Callithrix jacchus: one gene and its partners. The protein of the gene in region 4 interacts with the protein of the main gene of each other region in a biochemical or structural test. Links are inferred from orthologs where the notes say so. Each region holds a gene or a part of one and is shown on either strand. Other genes may lie near its edges. The genes, in order: ESR1, PPARG, THRA, GRIP1 and CARM1.

Evidence for each region.
Region 1: the proteins of GRIP1 (region 4) and ESR1 form a complex in vitro, tested with the Homo sapiens proteins (2 studies listed by BioGRID and IntAct). The link is inferred for Callithrix jacchus from reciprocal best matches to the Homo sapiens genes GRIP1 and ESR1.
Region 2: the proteins of GRIP1 (region 4) and PPARG form a complex in vitro, tested with the Homo sapiens proteins (2 studies listed by BioGRID). The link is inferred for Callithrix jacchus from reciprocal best matches to the Homo sapiens genes GRIP1 and PPARG.
Region 3: the proteins of GRIP1 (region 4) and THRA form a complex in vitro, tested with the Homo sapiens proteins (2 studies listed by BioGRID). The link is inferred for Callithrix jacchus from reciprocal best matches to the Homo sapiens genes GRIP1 and THRA.
Region 5: the proteins of GRIP1 (region 4) and CARM1 form a complex in vitro, tested with the Homo sapiens proteins (2 studies listed by BioGRID). The link is inferred for Callithrix jacchus from reciprocal best matches to the Homo sapiens genes GRIP1 and CARM1.

The regions. Positions count from the first base shown.
Region 1 is NC_133505.1:158,537,519-158,541,475, reverse strand, and holds the start of ESR1 (estrogen receptor), read right to left. Parts: upstream 2,801-3,957; 5' UTR 2,668-2,800; intron 1-2,667.
Region 2 is NC_133516.1:69,544,509-69,548,031, reverse strand, and holds part of PPARG (peroxisome proliferator-activated receptor gamma), read right to left. Parts: intron 2,429-3,523; coding exon 2,201-2,428; intron 826-2,200; coding exon 656-825; intron 1-655. UniProt on the Homo sapiens protein: Nuclear receptor that binds peroxisome proliferators such as hypolipidemic drugs and fatty acids.
Region 3 is NC_133506.1:71,696,316-71,699,838, reverse strand, and holds part of THRA (thyroid hormone receptor alpha), read right to left. Parts: intron 3,283-3,523; exon of another isoform or gene 2,722-3,282; intron 1,961-2,721; coding exon 1,814-1,960; intron 373-1,813; coding exon 114-372; intron 1-113.
Region 4 is NC_133510.1:52,843,163-52,846,685, reverse strand, and holds part of GRIP1 (glutamate receptor-interacting protein 1), read right to left. Parts: intron 2,710-3,523; coding exon 2,598-2,709; intron 2,485-2,597; coding exon 2,440-2,484; intron 1-2,439. UniProt on the Homo sapiens protein: May play a role as a localized scaffold for the assembly of a multiprotein signaling complex and as mediator of the trafficking of its binding partners at specific subcellular location in neurons.
Region 5 is NC_133523.1:10,086,034-10,089,521, forward strand, and holds part of CARM1 (histone-arginine methyltransferase CARM1), read left to right. Parts: intron 1-2,930; coding exon 2,931-3,016; intron 3,017-3,212; coding exon 3,213-3,302; intron 3,303-3,488. UniProt on the Homo sapiens protein: Methylates (mono- and asymmetric dimethylation) the guanidino nitrogens of arginyl residues in several proteins involved in DNA packaging, transcription regulation, pre-mRNA splicing, and mRNA stability.

The DNA of each region.
Region 1 (3,957 bases), on a different chromosome or scaffold from region 4:
ATGATCAGATGTTCATAAACTCCTAGCAGCTTTGGTGCTGATCTTGAATTATTTCATTTATTCAACCAACATGTATTGAATAACAGGCACTGTGATAGGCTTAGAGTAGAAATAACTTCCTCATATTGAGTTTCTAATGTTTAGAGACTGCAAGGAGTTTAATGAGTGGTTTAATCTCATTTACTCCATATAATTCTCTCTGGTAGCTACTGTTAGTACTCCAACTTTGCAGATGAGAAATTTAATGATGGAGGTGACATAATCTGCCTCTAATTGCACAGCTAGAGAGTGGTGGGAGCTATGACTGGGTACTCAGTCATTTTTCCATGGATTTGAATTGAACCACTTAATAGAATTCTCACCGAAGAGTGATGTGCTGTGGAAAACCTGAGCAGAGGTATCAGCTTTCTAGCAGAATATTTTAAGGGGCAGGTGAGTAGGGTAAGCCCCTTCATTCTCTGAAACAATCACAGACTTTCAGTGAGAAAAATGTTATATGCCTTAGATAGAACCATAAAACTCACTGATGTGCATGTTTTTGCTGTTGTGTCCAGTGGGAATGATTCAGAGGAAGTCTAATGAGATGTTGCCCAGAAGGCAGGCACACATCATCAGTCTTACCTGTACAGTGCCTGCCTTTGAAAAGAGCACTTTATTTGATAATATGCAGGAGGCTTCACAGATAGCACCTCTTTCTCAGAGATCAACAATGGAGACTCTATCCTGATAGAGGCAGATGGACAGGACCATGTCGCCACTGCCATAGATGAATCCTATGCTATGAGTTTATTTTGTTTATTTTATTTTGTTTATTTTATTTTTTACCAGCAGTGTGGATGGTCTACTGAGAGCTGGGTCACTCTTTTCCTTGCCCTTTTTTCCAAATAGCCAATCTGGAGTCATGAAGCAGAGCTGTTCCCTATTCAAAGCAAAGTAAACTCAACCACCAGGCCCTCAACTCAAGCAACTGTTCTGACCAACTAGGATAAATGAGTGCAGCTAGACTAAGAGAAGACCTGCAGACAACCATGTGAACTTGTTTGGCAGACACCTGATGTACATCGTTATGCTGTGTGGAGGTTTAGAGTGAGTGTTTGAAGGGAAGGTGGGTGGTAGCTAGCTCTAAACCCAATACTGAACAAAGACAAGAGTTCTCAGAAACAAAAGATAGTTTGACTTTTCTTGCTGCAAGTTTAAGACCCAAACATTGTATTCCTTTCCTTGACTGTCATGAGCAATAAAACAAAACAAATATCTCCAAGTGTCCAAGAAAAATCTTCTGCTTGTAAATACGACCCTTGTGTTCTTAATGAAAATTCTGCTGTTTTCCTACATCATGCCTTTTACCTACATTGTTTTTATTTCTAATTTCCTTGAAAATCTAACATTCTAGATTATTTTATCCAACCGCTACGGCATTATCTGCATGCATTTCACAGCCCAGTCGGCGGTCTTCACAGGACATTAACAAAATCAAAGAAAACATTTGCTTTTAAGAACTAGGAGGGGATTTTATGGTATCGAAATGAACCCTGAACCGTGGACCTCAAACATTCTCACCCAATTTAAATTCTCTGTACATTTCAGAATTCAGTTCAAACACTTCTGCCTGGTCTTCCTAAGTTTACTCTCAACATTAAAATATGTATATACCACATTCAAAACTGGATGAGTTTCCCAGCAGCCTCATATACATAGAGTTGCTCTGTAAGCCTATTAGATCTGACACATAAAGGCGTTAAAAATCTGGCACCTTTAAGCAGGAACCATTGCCATGATCACAAGTCCTGATAAAGCCCAACCCTTCTATCAAGTAAATTGCTTTAAAATGTTTTAATCACGTCGGCTCCTATGGACTTGAGAGAATACTGGTTATCTTCTTGACAAAGCATGAAACTTACAGTTCAACGAGCATTTCCTAAGACATGTGGCATGCCTCTGACCAAAATGAAAGTATTCTGCCCTGTCTTGTGACTGCCACATCATTACCCGAGTAGCCCACTGCTATATGTGGTGAAGTCATTATGCGTGTGCCTTTGAGAGGCAAAAAGGAACCGAGAAAATGGGACACCAGGACTCAAAAGAACTTGCTTAAAATCAGAGGCCAATTTCAAGACAGAATCGTTCATTCTTGTGCTGCTGGACGTGTAGCTTTTCAGAAAACTTGACTGCCTTTAGGAAACAAATAATGGATCATTCACATCTTTTAGTTCAAACTCATATAAGTTATGGCTCCAAAGATTAAGAAAACAGGTAATGTGTTCCTGCTAGTCTGAGATTTCTCTAATTAAGAACTTTTAAAATTCTAACACAGCTCAACAACACGGTGTCTCCTAGCTAGTGCTGGATCCGATAGATATATGTTATCTGGAGCAGACAGGCAGCCTGTGTGTGCTGTACTAAGAACAGGGTAGTCGGATTGCCCTCTGCCTCAGCTAAATATTATTCTAGAAGTGAATTTCCACTGTACCAAGTTTAGATTTCACATTTTATCATCCTAGGAATACTTGCCAGTAAGTTTGCAAAATATCCTTGGAGCAGAAAGAGGAAAAAAATGAACATTTTTTAAAGATGAGACGTAAGCTCTGAAGTTACAATATGCTTGTAAACAGTAGCACATTATATCAAAAAGGAAAAAATAAATTGAGAAGAAATAGGAGTACCTACTTGAAGAGAAGATTATCACTCAGAGACTGTCTTCTTATGCTATAGAATGGGCAGGAGAAAGGAGCATGGACCTTTCGAGCCTGTTAAAGAGCTTCTGAGCATGGAGCCTGCATTTTCAGTTTTGGTAAAATCCGTTCTGACTCGGTAGACAGGAGGCTGTTATGACCATGAAATTAGGAAATGCAGTAACTCAAAAATAAAGAACTAGCACCACCATTTGACTAGGATTGGAAAATCTCATTGAAAACATAGAGGAGGGGGTGGCCTTGCTTTCTCCAAGCCCGGCTTGAATCTAACTTTCTTAGCACTTCCACTAAAATGGATGTTCAAAAAGAGGTAAATCATGTGTTAATCTGCCTGAAATTTTTTTACGCCCTCCAGCCGATTTTTCTCTTTATTCCTAATAAAGCTCAAAGTCTAGACAGGCGTGTGGGGCTGGAAAAAAAAATAAAACATTCATTCAGCACATAAATTTTGTTAATCCAAAGTTAGCTAGAGCTAAACTAAAAGCAGGGGTAAGGAAATGTCTTCTGTTAGTGTTATTTGGGAATTTCTTACTCAGGCATGGACTCAAAAGCCGGCTCTGCACTTCCTGTTACTGATTAATTAGGTTCTTGACTTCGGTAACCTGCACAGGTCTAGCTCCTTACGCTCTTTGGTCCTTAATTTCTGTCGCATGATCCTTCCATAAACTGTCCGGTATTTCCTGCAGCAATTTTTAAATTTATGTGGTTATTGATTGTTTGTTTAACACTAAGATACACATTTTAAAGTAGAAAAAGGGCTGTAAAATCATATTAAAATTTTTTAATAACATTGAAATTTTAATATCTCATCATGTCTGCTGTGGTTTATGCAGTATGTACTTTCAATGATTTTTTAAAAATATTTTCGCTTTTTCTTCTTTACAAGTCTTGAAAAAGGCTGGTTTTCTGGAAGTGAGAATGATAGAGGGGGCAGAGGAGGAATCTCTCTCTTGCTATTGTATTGCTCTCTGTCCCAGTACCCAGTACAGAGTGACGTCTGCCAAGTAAGCTACACCTCAAAACTGTCATGGGAAGGAAGGAAAACCAAAAGAAATAATCAATGCTTTAAAACATTTTGAAATAAATGATCTTAACTGTCTTCAATCTTCTCTATACTTGTCAGTTAGCCCATAAAATAATTTGAATATGTTAATTTGCCTGAGAGAAGCTTCTCCAGAATACAGAGAGCAGGACACATTTTAGTTAGTATGTAAAGTATTTAATTTCAAGTGACTGAACATAAAATCTCAACAAGATTCACTTA
Region 2 (3,523 bases), on a different chromosome or scaffold from region 4:
CAAATACCACCTAAGGAGTCAGAGTCTAGACTGAGGGCTGCCGTTGACTAAGGGATGGCCTTGGCAAGTCTTACAAACTCATAATTTCTACATCTGTAATGTGGCCATAAAGAAGCCCAACCTTATAGGATTGCTCTAGGGATCCAAAGATATGTATATACAAATAATCTGTAAAATCTTGTGTATACACAATATTACATGGCACAGCAAAAAAATAAACAAACAACTAGGGAATGCAGGAAATCTGCATCCTGGTGCCAAATCATCACTGTCTTCCCACGACACCTTGGAGAAGTCACTCTTTGTAAAAATCTGCAAGATGCAAGGGTTAAATTAAATCAGTGTCTCAAAGAATCAATTTGGAGAAAGGAATGTGGGGTAAAGCAGCCCTGCTTTTATCCACTTTCTTAGGCTCTCAAATATTACATCATCCTTTGGGAGGCTGAGGTGGGAGGATCACTTTAGCCCTGGAGCTCAATGCTGCAGTGTGCTCTGATTGTACCACTGTACTCCAGTCTGGGTGACAGAACAAGACACTTTTCTAAGAAGAAAAAATTCATATTTTTTATCACCTAAAGAAAGGGTTCTGCTCAAATGAAATAATAAGGTTTCAACGATTTCTTTGAAGAAAGATTTTTTTTTTTTTTTTAATTACCTTGCATCCTTCACAAGCATGAACTCCGTAGTGGAACCCAGAAGCTTTATCTCCACAGACACGACATTCGATTGCCATGAGGGAGTTGGAAGCCTCTTCATGAGGCTTACTGTAGAGCTGAGTCTTCTCAGAATAATAAGGTGGAGATGCGGGCTCCACTTTGATTGCACCTGTGTATAGAAACGTGAGAGGATAATTATCCCATGAAAACAGTCCTAAAAAGGCAAAAGGGCAAGCCACCATAGTACACCTTCATGCTGTATTTGTATTGTTTCAGTATAAAAGCACAATGGGACATGAAAAAAACACTAGAGTTAAGGCAAGAAAAAGAAGGCTGTGTAATCACAGTCAAGTTACAACATCGCTAAGCCTCACCTGTAAATTTAAAATGGGAACGGGAATTAAGTCTGTGGTTCTATGACCCCCAGTACCCTGCAATACTACAGCTTTAACAGACAACAGAGAGGCTTTGAGACAAGGAAGCTTATTTTGCTAGCAAATGTTCTGTCTTCGGTATTCATCACAATATTAAATTATACATTTTATTTAAATATTAAATTTTAGAAGTACTTTGGAACAGTGCTTGCAAAAGAACCACAAAAGGAACACTGCTGTGAATGCCTAGCTTCAAGGTGCAAGAAAAATAAGAGCCCAGGTTACCATCAGTGTTCAGTCAAAAGACGTGGTTTGTGAAATAATCTTTGACAGAGGGTGGGGGAACTTAATGGAAGTCCGGCCTACCTTTTACTAGTTAGGCCCATGGCTATTAAATTTCCATATTAGGCTCTAACTAAAAACCACACAGATAAATATAACTAAGCATATTATTTATCTTAAAAACCACCAGAAATACAGGAAGTTCTTACTTATTGTCAAGTAATGGTTGCCAGTTACATAGTGGTGGCTCTGGAAAACCAGCATGTCAGCCCACACATGATAAAAATCAAAGAAACAGCATCACAGAAATACATTTTATCTCAAAAAGTGCAGCTCTTGTTTTTCTTGCATCTGATGTTTTGATGTTAATTTAGTTAATGGCATGAAAATTTATCAATAGACTACAATGTTAAGACAAATTTGTGCTCAAAAGTAGGTTTCAGTATAAAATTCTGAAAGGACAAATTAGAAAAAAATGTACTGTAGTAGCAGTAATTTAGTGAAGATAAGTTATATAATAAATATCAGGTGACCTGGAACTGTTACTTATTAACTTACAAAGGCCAAAAGAATTCAAAGCGTGGATGATGGACTCTTAGCCAGAGATACAAATGGCAGTGTAATCAAGGTAGAAAATGTCCCTAAGAAGGAAGTAAGCAAGACAGGAAAGAAGAGAGGAAGGATAGAGTGGGGGAAAGGCAAGATTGGTCTGGCGCCAGCTTCCTTTCTGGCATTTCATAGATACCTAATGTTTGATGGATAAATGGGTGAATAAATCAATGATGAATGCCTTCTCTATTAGTGTTCTAGTCTCTGGAGTATTACAGGGTTACTGAGAGATTAGTCCAATTCCAGTCTTAGGAGTCTGAAAAATGAAAATAAACATACTTTGGTACTCTTGAAGTTTCAGGTCATACTTATAATCTGCAACCATCGGATCTGTTCTTGTGAATGGAATGTCTTCATAGTGTGGAGTAGAAATGCTGGAGAAGTCAACAGTAGTGAAGGGCTTGATGTCAAAGGAGTGGGAGTGGTCGTCCATTACGGAGAGATCCACGGAGCTGATCCCAAAGTTGGTGGGCCAGAATGGCATCTCTGTGTCAACCATGGTAATTTCTGAAAGGAAAAATAGACCAGCCATGAAGTTAAGTCCTGGAGAACAGAGCAATGTCACAGAGTTCCAGAAAGGGAAATGAAAGAGTCTTTGGCGAAGTAATCTCTTCTAGGCTCTTAAAACGAGAAAAGAACATAACCATCTTCTCAGTGCTGCTCAGGCTGTTTTATGATAGGAAGGAAGTCATCCTTTACCTATCAGAGTAGAGAATCCTGAAACAGTGCAGACACATATAGTATATTCATATAAGTGTCTTGCTAACAGTTCTGCTCTCATTATCTTCTACAGAAGGTCATCAATTGAGTCTGTTAATGACTGCTGTTATTTAAAATTTTTTCCAGCTTTATTTAAGTATAATAGACAAAAATTTTTAAACTTAAGGCACACAGGCCAGGCACGGTGGCCCACCTGTAATCCCAGCACTTTAGGAGGCCAAGGAAGGAGTATCACCTGAGGTCAGGAGTTTGAAACCAGGCTGGCCAACATGGCGAAACCTTGTCTTTACTAAAAATAGAAAAATTGGCTGGGTGTGGTAGCATGTGCCTATAATCTCAGCCACTTGGGAGGCTGAGGCAGGAGAATGGCTTGAACCCAGGAGGTGGAGGTTGCAGTGAGCCAACATCACACCACTGCACTCCAGCCCAGGCAACTGAGCAAGACTCCATTCAAAAACAAAACAAAACAAAAAAACAAGGTATACAATGTGATGTTTTAATGTATGTATTTACTGTGAAATGATTACCATCATCAAGCTAATGACCATACTCATCACTTCACATACCTTTTAAAGTATGAATATGTGTAGTGAGAACACTTAAGATCTACTGTCTTAGCAAATTTCAGATATACCATACGGCATCACTAACTATAGTCACCATGCTGAAGGTGACCTACACTTAGGTCTCCAGAACTCATGCTGCGTAACTGAAACTCTGGCTGACATCTCCCTATGCAATCACTCTCAAGCCCCTGGCAACCACCATTTTACTCTCTACTTGCATGAGTTTGACGTTTTTAGATTCCATGCCTAAGTGAGATCATGTGGTATTTGTCTTTCTGTGTCAAGTACCACCCAGTTTACTTCTCTTAGCACAGTG
Region 3 (3,523 bases), on a different chromosome or scaffold from region 4:
CAGAGATTTAGCCTGGAAGAAGATTCAGGAGGGAGTTGAGTACCAGGTGGGGCTCCAGCCAATCTCTGGGACCCCTGGAAGCTTCTGAGCCCTCCCGGCCAATCAGCAGGTACCTGTTGACATTAGCAGCACAGCCTGCAGCAGAGCCACTTCCGTGTCATCCAGGTTAAAGGCAGAGAGTGACTTGCCCAGTTCAAAGATGGCGTCGGAGACTACGCCCAGGCCACCATTCTTGAGCTGCTCCCGCTTGACGGCCATCTCCCCACTCAGCGTCAGTGTGTCGCTCTCAGGGTCATAGCGGACAGCTGCCCGCAGGGACATGATCTCCATGCAGCACCCCTTCAGGAGGATGATCTGGTCTTCGCAAGGCAGCTGTGGAGCAGCAGGGCCACAGGAGCACTCAGCACACCCCTCCCCGCGTCCCTGAGTCTCCATGGAGTGTCCTCCAGGGGCCGTGAGGCTGGTGAGGCCCATATCGACCTCAGCCAATAGCATGGACTCTGAACAGCTGACCCTGTGTTAGGCCACGTGCATGCACTATTTCATTTAAGCCTCACAATTATATGTGTGAGGCCGGGTGCAGTGGCTCGCATTTGTAATCCCAGCACTTTGGAAGGCCAAGGCAGGCAAATAACTTGAGGTCAGGAGTTTGAGACTAGCCTGGCCAGCATACATGGTAAAACCCTATCTCTACTAAAAATACAAAATTAGTCAGGTGTGGTAGCATACACCTGTAGTCACAGCTACTCAGGAGGCTAAGGCAGGAGAATCACCTGAACCCAGGAGGTGGAGGTTGCAGTGAGCCAAGATAGCGTCACTGCATTCCAGCCTGGGCAACAGAACCAGATTCCATTTCAAAAAAGAAAAAATAAATAAATTATGCCTGTGAGTTAGCACCCATCATCACGCCCAGCCCACACTAGATGGGAACACTGAGGCGCAGGGGATGGAGGTAACTTGTCCCAGGTCACAGGGCTGGTAGGGCAGCCCGTTTCCAGCACTAGTGCTCTGGAAAATGAGAACTTTCAGATTGCCTGGAGCTGGGTGGCCGCATAGATTTGAGGGATGAGGGGCTGCAGAGAGGGGCACTTGCAGCCAGCTGGTTTCTTAGAGCAGCTAGACCTTGGTGTGTGTCTCTGTGTGTGTTGTGTGTATGGGAGTGCTGGGAGGGTGTGTGTCTATGTATTTGTGTATGTGTCTGTGTGCTAGGTGTGTGTCTCCACGTGTGTGCCTGTGTGCTGTGTGTGAATGTGTGTGTGTGTGGCTGTGTATGTATCTGTGTGTCTGCGCTGAGTGTGTGTCTGTGTGTCAGTGTGCTAGGTGTGTGTCTGTGTGCTAGGTGTGTATCTGTGTATGCATCTGTGTGTGTGCCTGTGTGCTGTGTGTTTGTGTCTGTGTGTGTCTGTGTCTGTGCTAGGGGTGTGTGTATGTGTCTGTGTGCTGGGTGTATGTATCTGTGTGTGTGTATGCTGGGTGTGTCTGTGTGTGTGCCTGTGTGCTGGGTATGTGTCTATGTGTGTATGTGTTTGTGCATGTGTCTGTGCTAGGTGTGTGTGTGTGTGTATGTCTGTGTATGCATTTGTGTGCTAGGTGTGTGTGTGTCTATGTTGTGTCTGTGTGCTGCGTGTGTGTGTATCTGTGTGTGTGTGTGTGTGTGTGTGTATGTATCTGTACGTGTGCCTGTGTGCTGGGTATGTGTTGATGTACAGGAATTGCTCCTTGTCCAGAGAACCTCAGATGAGCTTGTACTGGGTGACCAGGGGAGCAGGTTTCCCTCCAGCACACGATGTCTCTCCTCCCTGCTGCCACTCACCTCGGAGAACATGGGCAGTTTTTTGGCAAAGTCCACCACACGGGTGATGGCTGGGGTGATGATCTTGGTAAACTCGCTGAAGGCTTCCAGGTCCACCTTGTCTCCATCCGGCATGGAGACAATGGGTGACTGGCCAATGTCCTCAGGCTAGAGAGAAAGACAGGGGTCAGCTGGGGCCGCAGCCCCCTTTCAGCCGCTAACTGAGGCCCCCCTGCCCACCAGGGGGAGCTCCAAGGCAGCTTGGGGAAGAGGGGCCATCAGTGCCTGAGTCCCAGCCCCAAAGCTTTTTCCTTCACCTAGAGCAGAGCCAGAGCTCCAAGTCAGCTGATAATACCAATGGCAATAACAGTAGTAGCAGCTACAATGGCTGAATACTTAATATGTGATCAGGCATCAGGCTGCATGCTTTATATGCCTTATCTCATTTCATCCTGACCGCAATCCTAAAAGGAATAATTATGATAATCACCATTTCACAGATGTGGAAACTGTGCATGGGGCAGCTAAGTAATAAGGCGAAAGTCCTATGACTAGCAGGTGGTAGGACCAGGGTTTGAACTCAGGCAGTCTGACTCCTGACTGCCACGTTGCTTGGAATCAGTGCACCCTTAACAGTTCACTGTGCCACCCCTGACATGCTCCACCAGGAACCAGGAGCCAGGACCCAGGTTTCTGCCTTCCTTCACCATACAGAGCCAACTGTCCATCTCCTGCCAAACTGACCATTTCTTTTTGAGACAGGGTATTGCTCGGTTTTCTGGGCTGGAGTGTAGTGGTATGATGATGGCTTACTGCAGCCTTGACCTCCCGTGCTTAGTGGATCCTCCTGCCTCAGCCTCCTGAGTAGCTGGGACTACAGGCATGTACCACCACACCCAGCTAATTTAAAAATTATTCGCCTTTTGGCCGGAACCGCCATCTTCCAGTAATTCGCCAAAATGACGAACACAAAGGGAAAGAGGAGAGGCACTCGATACATGTTCTCTAGGCCTTTTCGAAAACATGGAGTTGTTCCTTTGGCCACATATATGCGAATCTATAAGAAAGGTGATATTGTAGACATCAAGGGAATGGGTACTGTTCAAAAAGGAATGCCCCACAAATGTTATCATGGCAAAACTGGAAGAGTCTACGATGTTACCCAGCATGCTGTTGGCATTGTTGTAAACAAACAAGTTAAGGGCAAGATTCTTGCCAAGAGAATTAATGTGCGTATTGAGCACATCAAGCACTCTAAGAGCCGAGATAGCTTCCTAAAACATGTGAAGGAAAATGATCAGAAAAAGAAGGAAGCCAAAGAGAAAGGTACCTGGGTCCAACTGAAGCGACAGCCTGCTCCACCCAGAGAAGCACACTTTGTGAGAACCAATGGGAAGGAGCCTGAGCTGCTGGAACCTATTCCCTATGAATTCATGGCATAATAGGTGTTAAAAAAAAATAAAAGACTTCTGGACTGTATATAAAAAAAAAATTATTCATAGAGGCCAAGCATGGTGGCTCACACCTGTAATCCCAGCACTTTGGGAGGCTGAGGTGGGTGGATCACTTGAGGTAAGGAGTTCAAGACCACCTTGGCCAACATGGTGAAACCCCTGTCTCTACTAAAAATATAAAAATTAGCCAGGCATGGTGACGGACACCTGTGATCTCAGCTACTTGAGAGACAGGTGGGAGAATTGCTTGAACCCGGGAGGCGGAGGTTACAGTGAG
Region 4 (3,523 bases):
ATTTTTACCTACTAAGACTAGTTGTTTGCTTTGTTAACATCCATTTTTAAATATTCATTTTTCATGAGAATGACAGGACACATATTGGAAGTAAAACACTTAATCACTACATCTGGGAGACCACAGTTTTGCTTTGATGAGTCTTAGCTGCCATTGAAGAAATTACAAATTGATTTAGAAAAGGTTCTCATGGAAGAAATGAGATGCTATCCTTAATTCTTTGGTTCACATCTTCAAGTAAGTAGGTGAATGTACAGCAATAAGTTTGATTGCTTTGTTTAAATGAACTTTAGGTAGCATCTAAGGAGGAACATAAAAGCTAAAACACAAATATAAAAACTAAAATAAAAAGCTAAAAAACTATTTTTAATTACCTAAGATTTGCTTTGGTCTCAAGAGTATGTGTTACCTGTTTTCACTTGCCACAATTCATAACTGTATATTATCCCTAAGGCAACCTAGAGTTCTCTATGTGACATTTAAATCTTCTTCCTATATTATGCTAAACAAAAAATAGTTAAAGCAGTGTTCATTAATCAAGAAAGGGTAAAAATACTAATAGTTAACTTTTATTGAATACTTATTGAACACTTAAGTGCCACATAATTACTAGCTCATTATAATTCCCACATTTTATAGAAGAAATATCTGATCAGAGAGGTTAAAAACTTGTCCAAGACTCATTCAAATTTTTCTCCTTTGTTAAAGCTATACATTTTTTCAGTGTTAAAGTTGAATCTAAATTATTACTAGCAATAGGGAAAATGATTAGTAAATTAATTTTCATTTGCATTTCAATTGTAATCATCTTTCATCTTAGCTAACTGTCTACATTTATTAGTATTATAATGTGCTTTAACTTTTAATGCTGGATGTAAAATTAACGGGCAAGAATCTAGCTCCAATATTTTTTTTGTATAATAGCATTTCCAATCAAGGGAATGGAATTCACTTAAATCAAAAACGAATATTCTTTGTGATAAAAGTGTAAATATGACTCTATGACTTTGCCAGTCATTCATCCTAGTTAAGGATTTAATTTCCCTTTGGCTTATAAATTCAACTTATTTGCTTTCTGCATAATAATGTCAAGGGCCACACCTGTCTGGAGCTATGTTGGAGCAAACTCACAGGCTGTGGCAACATAACTTCTATTCTTGCTGATGGATAACTCAATTTCTGGATGAAAACAGAACTCCACTGTATTACTTTTTACATCATTTTCTTTTTGCCTAATGTAAAATAAGCCATTAGAAGAATAGCTTTTCTTCAGAAGAGAAGTATTAAATTGCACAATGAAAAAGCTGGATGAGCCAAAACATGCTTCCAAAAGCAGAGCTATGTTCAAGAATTGTGAATTGTGCTCGTTATTCAGTTTGGGCCACTTTTCTTCATCATTCTACATGCAGAAGGTGGTACAGGTTTAAATAAGCCAGCTGATACTTATGCATTCTGCTCTTTTTGAAAGTTGTATAAAAAGGAATCATTGCAACATCTTACTTCGTTTAGATTTTATAGGATTATCCATGTCCAGGACCTTTAATTATGCTCTGAAGCTGCAATTCATGCCAGGTAATACTATGATGTCTACAAGTTCAAACTAATATTTTTCTTGATAATTCTCTGCAGATTCACAAACATTAGAATCACATAAAATATCCACACATGCAATTGAGAAGCAAAATAATATAAAGATGAATAATCATTTTAGAATTGCAAGAGTTTCACCCCATTATGCCATTCACATTCCTTATGGTGACTTGGGAACCTCATATGGCATCAAAATAAAAATGAGACTTTTGCCACTTTATTTTTTACAGCTCAGAAAATTTAAAAGAACATAAAAGGAAATAGTCCAGGACTTCCCAGACTAAAGTGTGAATACCATCAGCAAATTCATGGCTTTGATTAAAGAACTCACCAGGAGTTCAGCTATTACACTCCATCGCATTCTTCCTTGAATTTACACTCAGTTAACATGGATGGAATCAGGATTTTCAATTAACAGCAAAGTACTATGTAATATTTTTGCTGCTTATCAAACAGACTGGCCTTTTTCAGCAGCTGCATTGTCATCTACTTTAAGGACAAAACAAAGTAAAATAGAATTTCCTTTTATGTTCCTCTTAACGATCAAATTAATTTCTATACCAGGTACAAATGAAAACATGCCAAATAAACCTTTCTAAAGCAACTAAGAGAATGGGATGCGCCACTGCTGGGAGACTTAGCTCGCTTTTTAGCGAACTGGTGGGAAACAGAGACAGTCAGGGATAGCAGGGAGCAATGGCAGAAGCCACAAGTCAGTAAGCTCAAGGGGTGGAGATGGGGAAATAAATACTTTTGACTGCATTGTATAAAATCAAATTGCTGTCCAGAAGGCAAAAGGGTAGGGAAGGCAGCTTCACAAGCAAAAATATAAACATAAAGGGTAGCTACCAAGAGAGTCATGTTTCTCAAAGACACACGCCTGTCAGCTTTCTCCTGTGGAAAGGGGTTAAAGCTTTTAAATGAACTGGTGTGAGAAATGCAAACTTAAAAGGACCGAAAAAAATGAATGTAGAAACAATAAAAGTAAGTAGCAGGACCAAGGCTACCTCCAGTTCTCTCAGAATTCCTGACTGTCCGCAGGTTTCCAAATCTTCCAGCGCTTGAGACCAGAAGTTCTCCTCTTGTTCTGTCTCTGCACTATCAGCAGCCCCTGCAAAACTGTTGTGAAGAAACACAGACCAGCTTAGGAACTTGCTAGACATATGTGTATGGTATCCAGAATCTCTCTCCTTCACCTCACACAAAATATAGAAAGACAGTCATTTTGGATCTGGCTTTCTTCCATCTGTGTCCTCCAAGTACATGAGCTTCAGCAGAGGGACGCTTTAGGAAATGTACTGTTGTGAAGATGGAAAGGCTGGTCCGTGGTCTTACTACTGGATTTCAGACTATTTGTGGCTGCTGCTAAATAGGCTGTAGCCACATGGCCCTATTGAAATGGGATGGAACGTCAGGAATGTATTTTAGCTGCTATATCTACAAGGAAAGAGAAACCAAATTTATCTCGAAGAGGGAAACATGTTTTCCCCACTTATAAATAAACCAAATGATATCACGTTTTATAAATTTCCTTAAAACGTTTTGGTAATAAACAAAATAGTAAAATATATTTTGCTGAAAAGATAGATCCATGATATATGTTTAAAAAAAATGTAACTTAATGTGAAACTAACTTTTAAAAGAAAGGAAAGGAGCCAGATGGGGTGGCTCATGCCTGTAATCCCAGCACTTTGGGAGGCCTAGGTGGGCAGACAACTTGAAGAAGGGAGTTTGAGACCAGACTGGCCAACATGGTAAAACCCCATCTCTATTAAAAATACAAAAATTAGCCAGGTGTGGTGGCAGGCACCTGTAATCCCAGCTACTGGGGGCGGGGATGATAAGGGGGGAGAATCACTTGAACCTGGTATGCACAGGTGGCAGTGAGCTGAGATCACACCAATGAACTGTAGCTTGGGTGACAGAGTGAGAC
Region 5 (3,488 bases), on a different chromosome or scaffold from region 4:
CTGTGATACTCGTTGAAAAAAATCAAAGGCGTATAGAAGAGAAAAGCTTCCCTACTTCTGTCCCAGCTGCACAGTTCAGTTTTCTTTTTTTTTTTTTTGAGACAGAGACTCACTCCATCGCCAGGTGCCAGGTGCCAGGCGCCAGGCGCCAGGCACCAGGCTGGAGTGCAGTGGCACGATCTCAGCTCACAGCAACCTCTGCCTCCTGGGTTCATGCAATTCTCCTGCCTCAGCCTCCCAAGTAGCTGGGACTACAGGCGCGCACCACCATGCCCAGCTAATTTCTGTATTTTTAGTAGAGACGGGGTTTCACCTTGTTGGCCAGTATAGTCTCGATCTCTTGACCTCGTGATCCACCTGCCTCGGCCTCCCAAAGTGCTGGGATTCTAGGTGTAAGCCACTGCGCCCAGACAGTTCTGTATGAGATTTTTCTTTTCTTTTCTTTTATACTATTATTTTGTACATGCTAGTTCTAAGTCGCTGGTGACTTTCACTATCTGGAGGAGTGGAAGGTATGTTTTCATCTGTTTAGTCTCTTGGTTTTGGGCTCTGGTCCTTTGTTCTTGTCTCTTGCTGTGCCTGATCATTGGATGCCAGAATGAAAAACCATGCAGGCACTGAATGATGCTTTTCCTTCCAAGGATTTTTCTTCAGGCACCTCACAAATGGAGAGGTCACCTTGGTCCTGTCGGGCACCTGAGATACTTTGACCTGCTTTTCAGACTCCAGTGGCTGATCTCTTTCCTGGATTCCCCATATGGCAACTGTTCTCAAATATTTTGGTCTCAGGACCCCTTTACACACTCAAATATTGAGGATCCTATTGAGCTTTTGGTTTTTTCCTTTTTTTTTTTTTTTTTTTGAGATGGAGTCTCGCTCTGTTGCCCAGCGTGGAGTACAGTGATGTGATCTCAGCTCACTGCAACCTCCGCCTCCTGGGTTAAAGTGATTCTCCCACCTCAGCCTCCCAAGTAGCTGGGATTACAGGTGTCCACCACCACACCCAGCTAATTATTGTGTTTTTAATAGAGACGAGGTTTCACCATGTTGGCCACACTGGTCTTGAATTCCTAACCTCAGGTGATCCATCTGCCTCGGGGAGTGAATGAATGAAAAAAGCTGGAAATATTTTGGTGTTATTATGAAAATGTTGTATTATTAAGAGGGTGCCCTGGAAGGGACCACAATTTGAGAAACTGCCACTTTAGGGTATGAACTTTGGTAATTTTTTTTTTTTTTTGAGACGGAGTCTTAGATTGGAGTGCAATGGAACAATCTTGGCTACTGCAACCTCTGCCTCCCCGGTTCAAGTGATTCTTCCACCTCAGCCTCCTGACTAGCTGGGACTACATGCACCCGCTACCGTGCCTGGCAAATTTTTGTATTTTTAGTAGAGATGGGATTTCACAGTTTTGGCCAGGCTGGTCTCAAACTCCTGTCCTTGTGATCCACCTGCCTCAGCCTCCCAAAGTGCTGGGATTACAGGCGTGAGCCACGGCGCCTGGCCTACTGCCTTCAGTAATCTTAATGCAAGTCCAGTGGTTAGCCTCATTACCAATATGCTTCTGAACCTCCCCTTACCTTTTTTTTGTATTTTTTTTTGAACCAGGTTCTCACTCTGTTGCCCAGGCTGGAGTGTAATGGCTGATTCACGCCATGGCTTACTGTAGCCTTGACCTCCTAGACACAAGTGATCCTCCTGCCTCAGCCTCCCAAGTAGCTGGAACTACAGGAGTGCACCACCATGCCCAGCTAATTTTATTTTTTGTAGACATGAGCTCTCACTATGTTACCCAGGCTAGTCTTGAATTCCTGACCTCAGGTGATCCGACCCCTCCGCCTTTCAAAGTGCTGGGATTACAGGCGTAAGCTGCCACGCCTGGCCTTGAGCCTCTTACAAGCAGCCTTCCGCTTGGTGTCTTATCCTCTGATGCCCCGCCCCGCTCAAAGCTCAGGAGTTGGCCAATTTCACAGGCGCATTGAGTGCGTACTGCCCACCTCGCCCTCCTGCACTTACTTCCCTTTGCTTTGACATTGCAGCCCCTTGAGTCTGAGCTGCCATGATAACCATGAGCTCCCATTTTGCTTTCCCCACCCAGGGAAGCTGCTGAAACATTGAGGTGGCCATTTTCTGCCCTCCCCCTGGGAAAAAGGCAGAAGCCAGAAAGGGCATTTCCTTCCTTTCCGGAAGCTTGATCCCCAAAGTCTTGGCTGCTCTGGTTGGTCCTTGGTGCTTCCAACAACTGGTTCAGTCTTTTCTTTGTATTTTACTTGGTTCACATAGTTCACAGCAGGTGCATTCGTCGGATATAAACATCACTGGGAGTGGACATCAGCACCAGCGTTGTTGTTTTAGAGACAGGGTCTCCCTACGTTTCCCAGGTTTGATTCACACTCAGGCTTAAGCGATCATCCCGCCTCAGCCTCCTGAGGAGCTGGAGTTATAAGCACGCACCACCACACCTGGTAGCAACTAGTTCTTTAACTTGCTTTTTTTGTTAACTTGCTTAATGATTTAGCGTGGGGATCTTCCCCCACCTGTTCATAAAGAGCCTCTTCATTCTTTCTCACATCCACATGGTCTTCGATGGGTGGGCCATCATTGGTTTAATTAGATGGTTTCCAGTGTGCCACTGCCACGGACAGTCTGTAATTATCCATAGAAGTTTGTTGATGTGTTCATGTATCTGGAAGTTAAACTCCTGTAGTGCCAAATCTTGTATGTGAATAAACACTTGTTATTTTGAAAGCTGCCACCTAATTGCCCTCGGTGGCGTTGTGCCGGTTTGCCCTCCTCGCAGGGTGTCTGAGGACAAGCTAGTTTTAGCTGCACAGCCTAGAGGCGGTGGCCAGACCTGGGGTAAGGGGCAGGGCTCTCTTCTTCCACGCTGGCCCTGGCACCAGATGGTCACATCGGTGTTTTCTCCCAGGACACATTTGACATCCGGATCCTGATGGCCAAGTCCGTCAAGTACACAGTGAACTTCTTAGAAGCCAAAGAAGGAGATTTGCACAGGTACCAGCACCCACACTCCATCCTCCCAGGTCTGGCTCAGGCCAAAGGTCAGGGCTACCCCTGGCTCCCGCCGGCATCCTGCCGTCCCAGGGCAGGTGGTGGGCGGGGGCCCCGGGCCTCTGCACCTGGCACCCCCTCTTCTCTCTCGGCAGCGCCTGCCTGGCTTCCCCAGCAGCCACTGCCCTTTGCCTTCCAGGATAGAAATCCCATTCAAATTCCACATGCTGCATTCAGGGCTGGTCCATGGCCTGGCTTTCTGGTTTGACGTTGCTTTCATCGGCTCCATGTGAGTGCCACAGAGCAGAGCAGCCCGTGCTGCCCCCCTCCCCTGCCCCACCCAGGGCTTCCTGCAGCTACGACCTGGCTGGGAGCTAGGAGGGTGGAACGTGGCTCCAGGTCCCACCATCCCTTCCAGTGGGAGTGAGAGCCTATCTCAGATCAAGACACTGGGTTCGGGGTGTGTGTGTGTGTG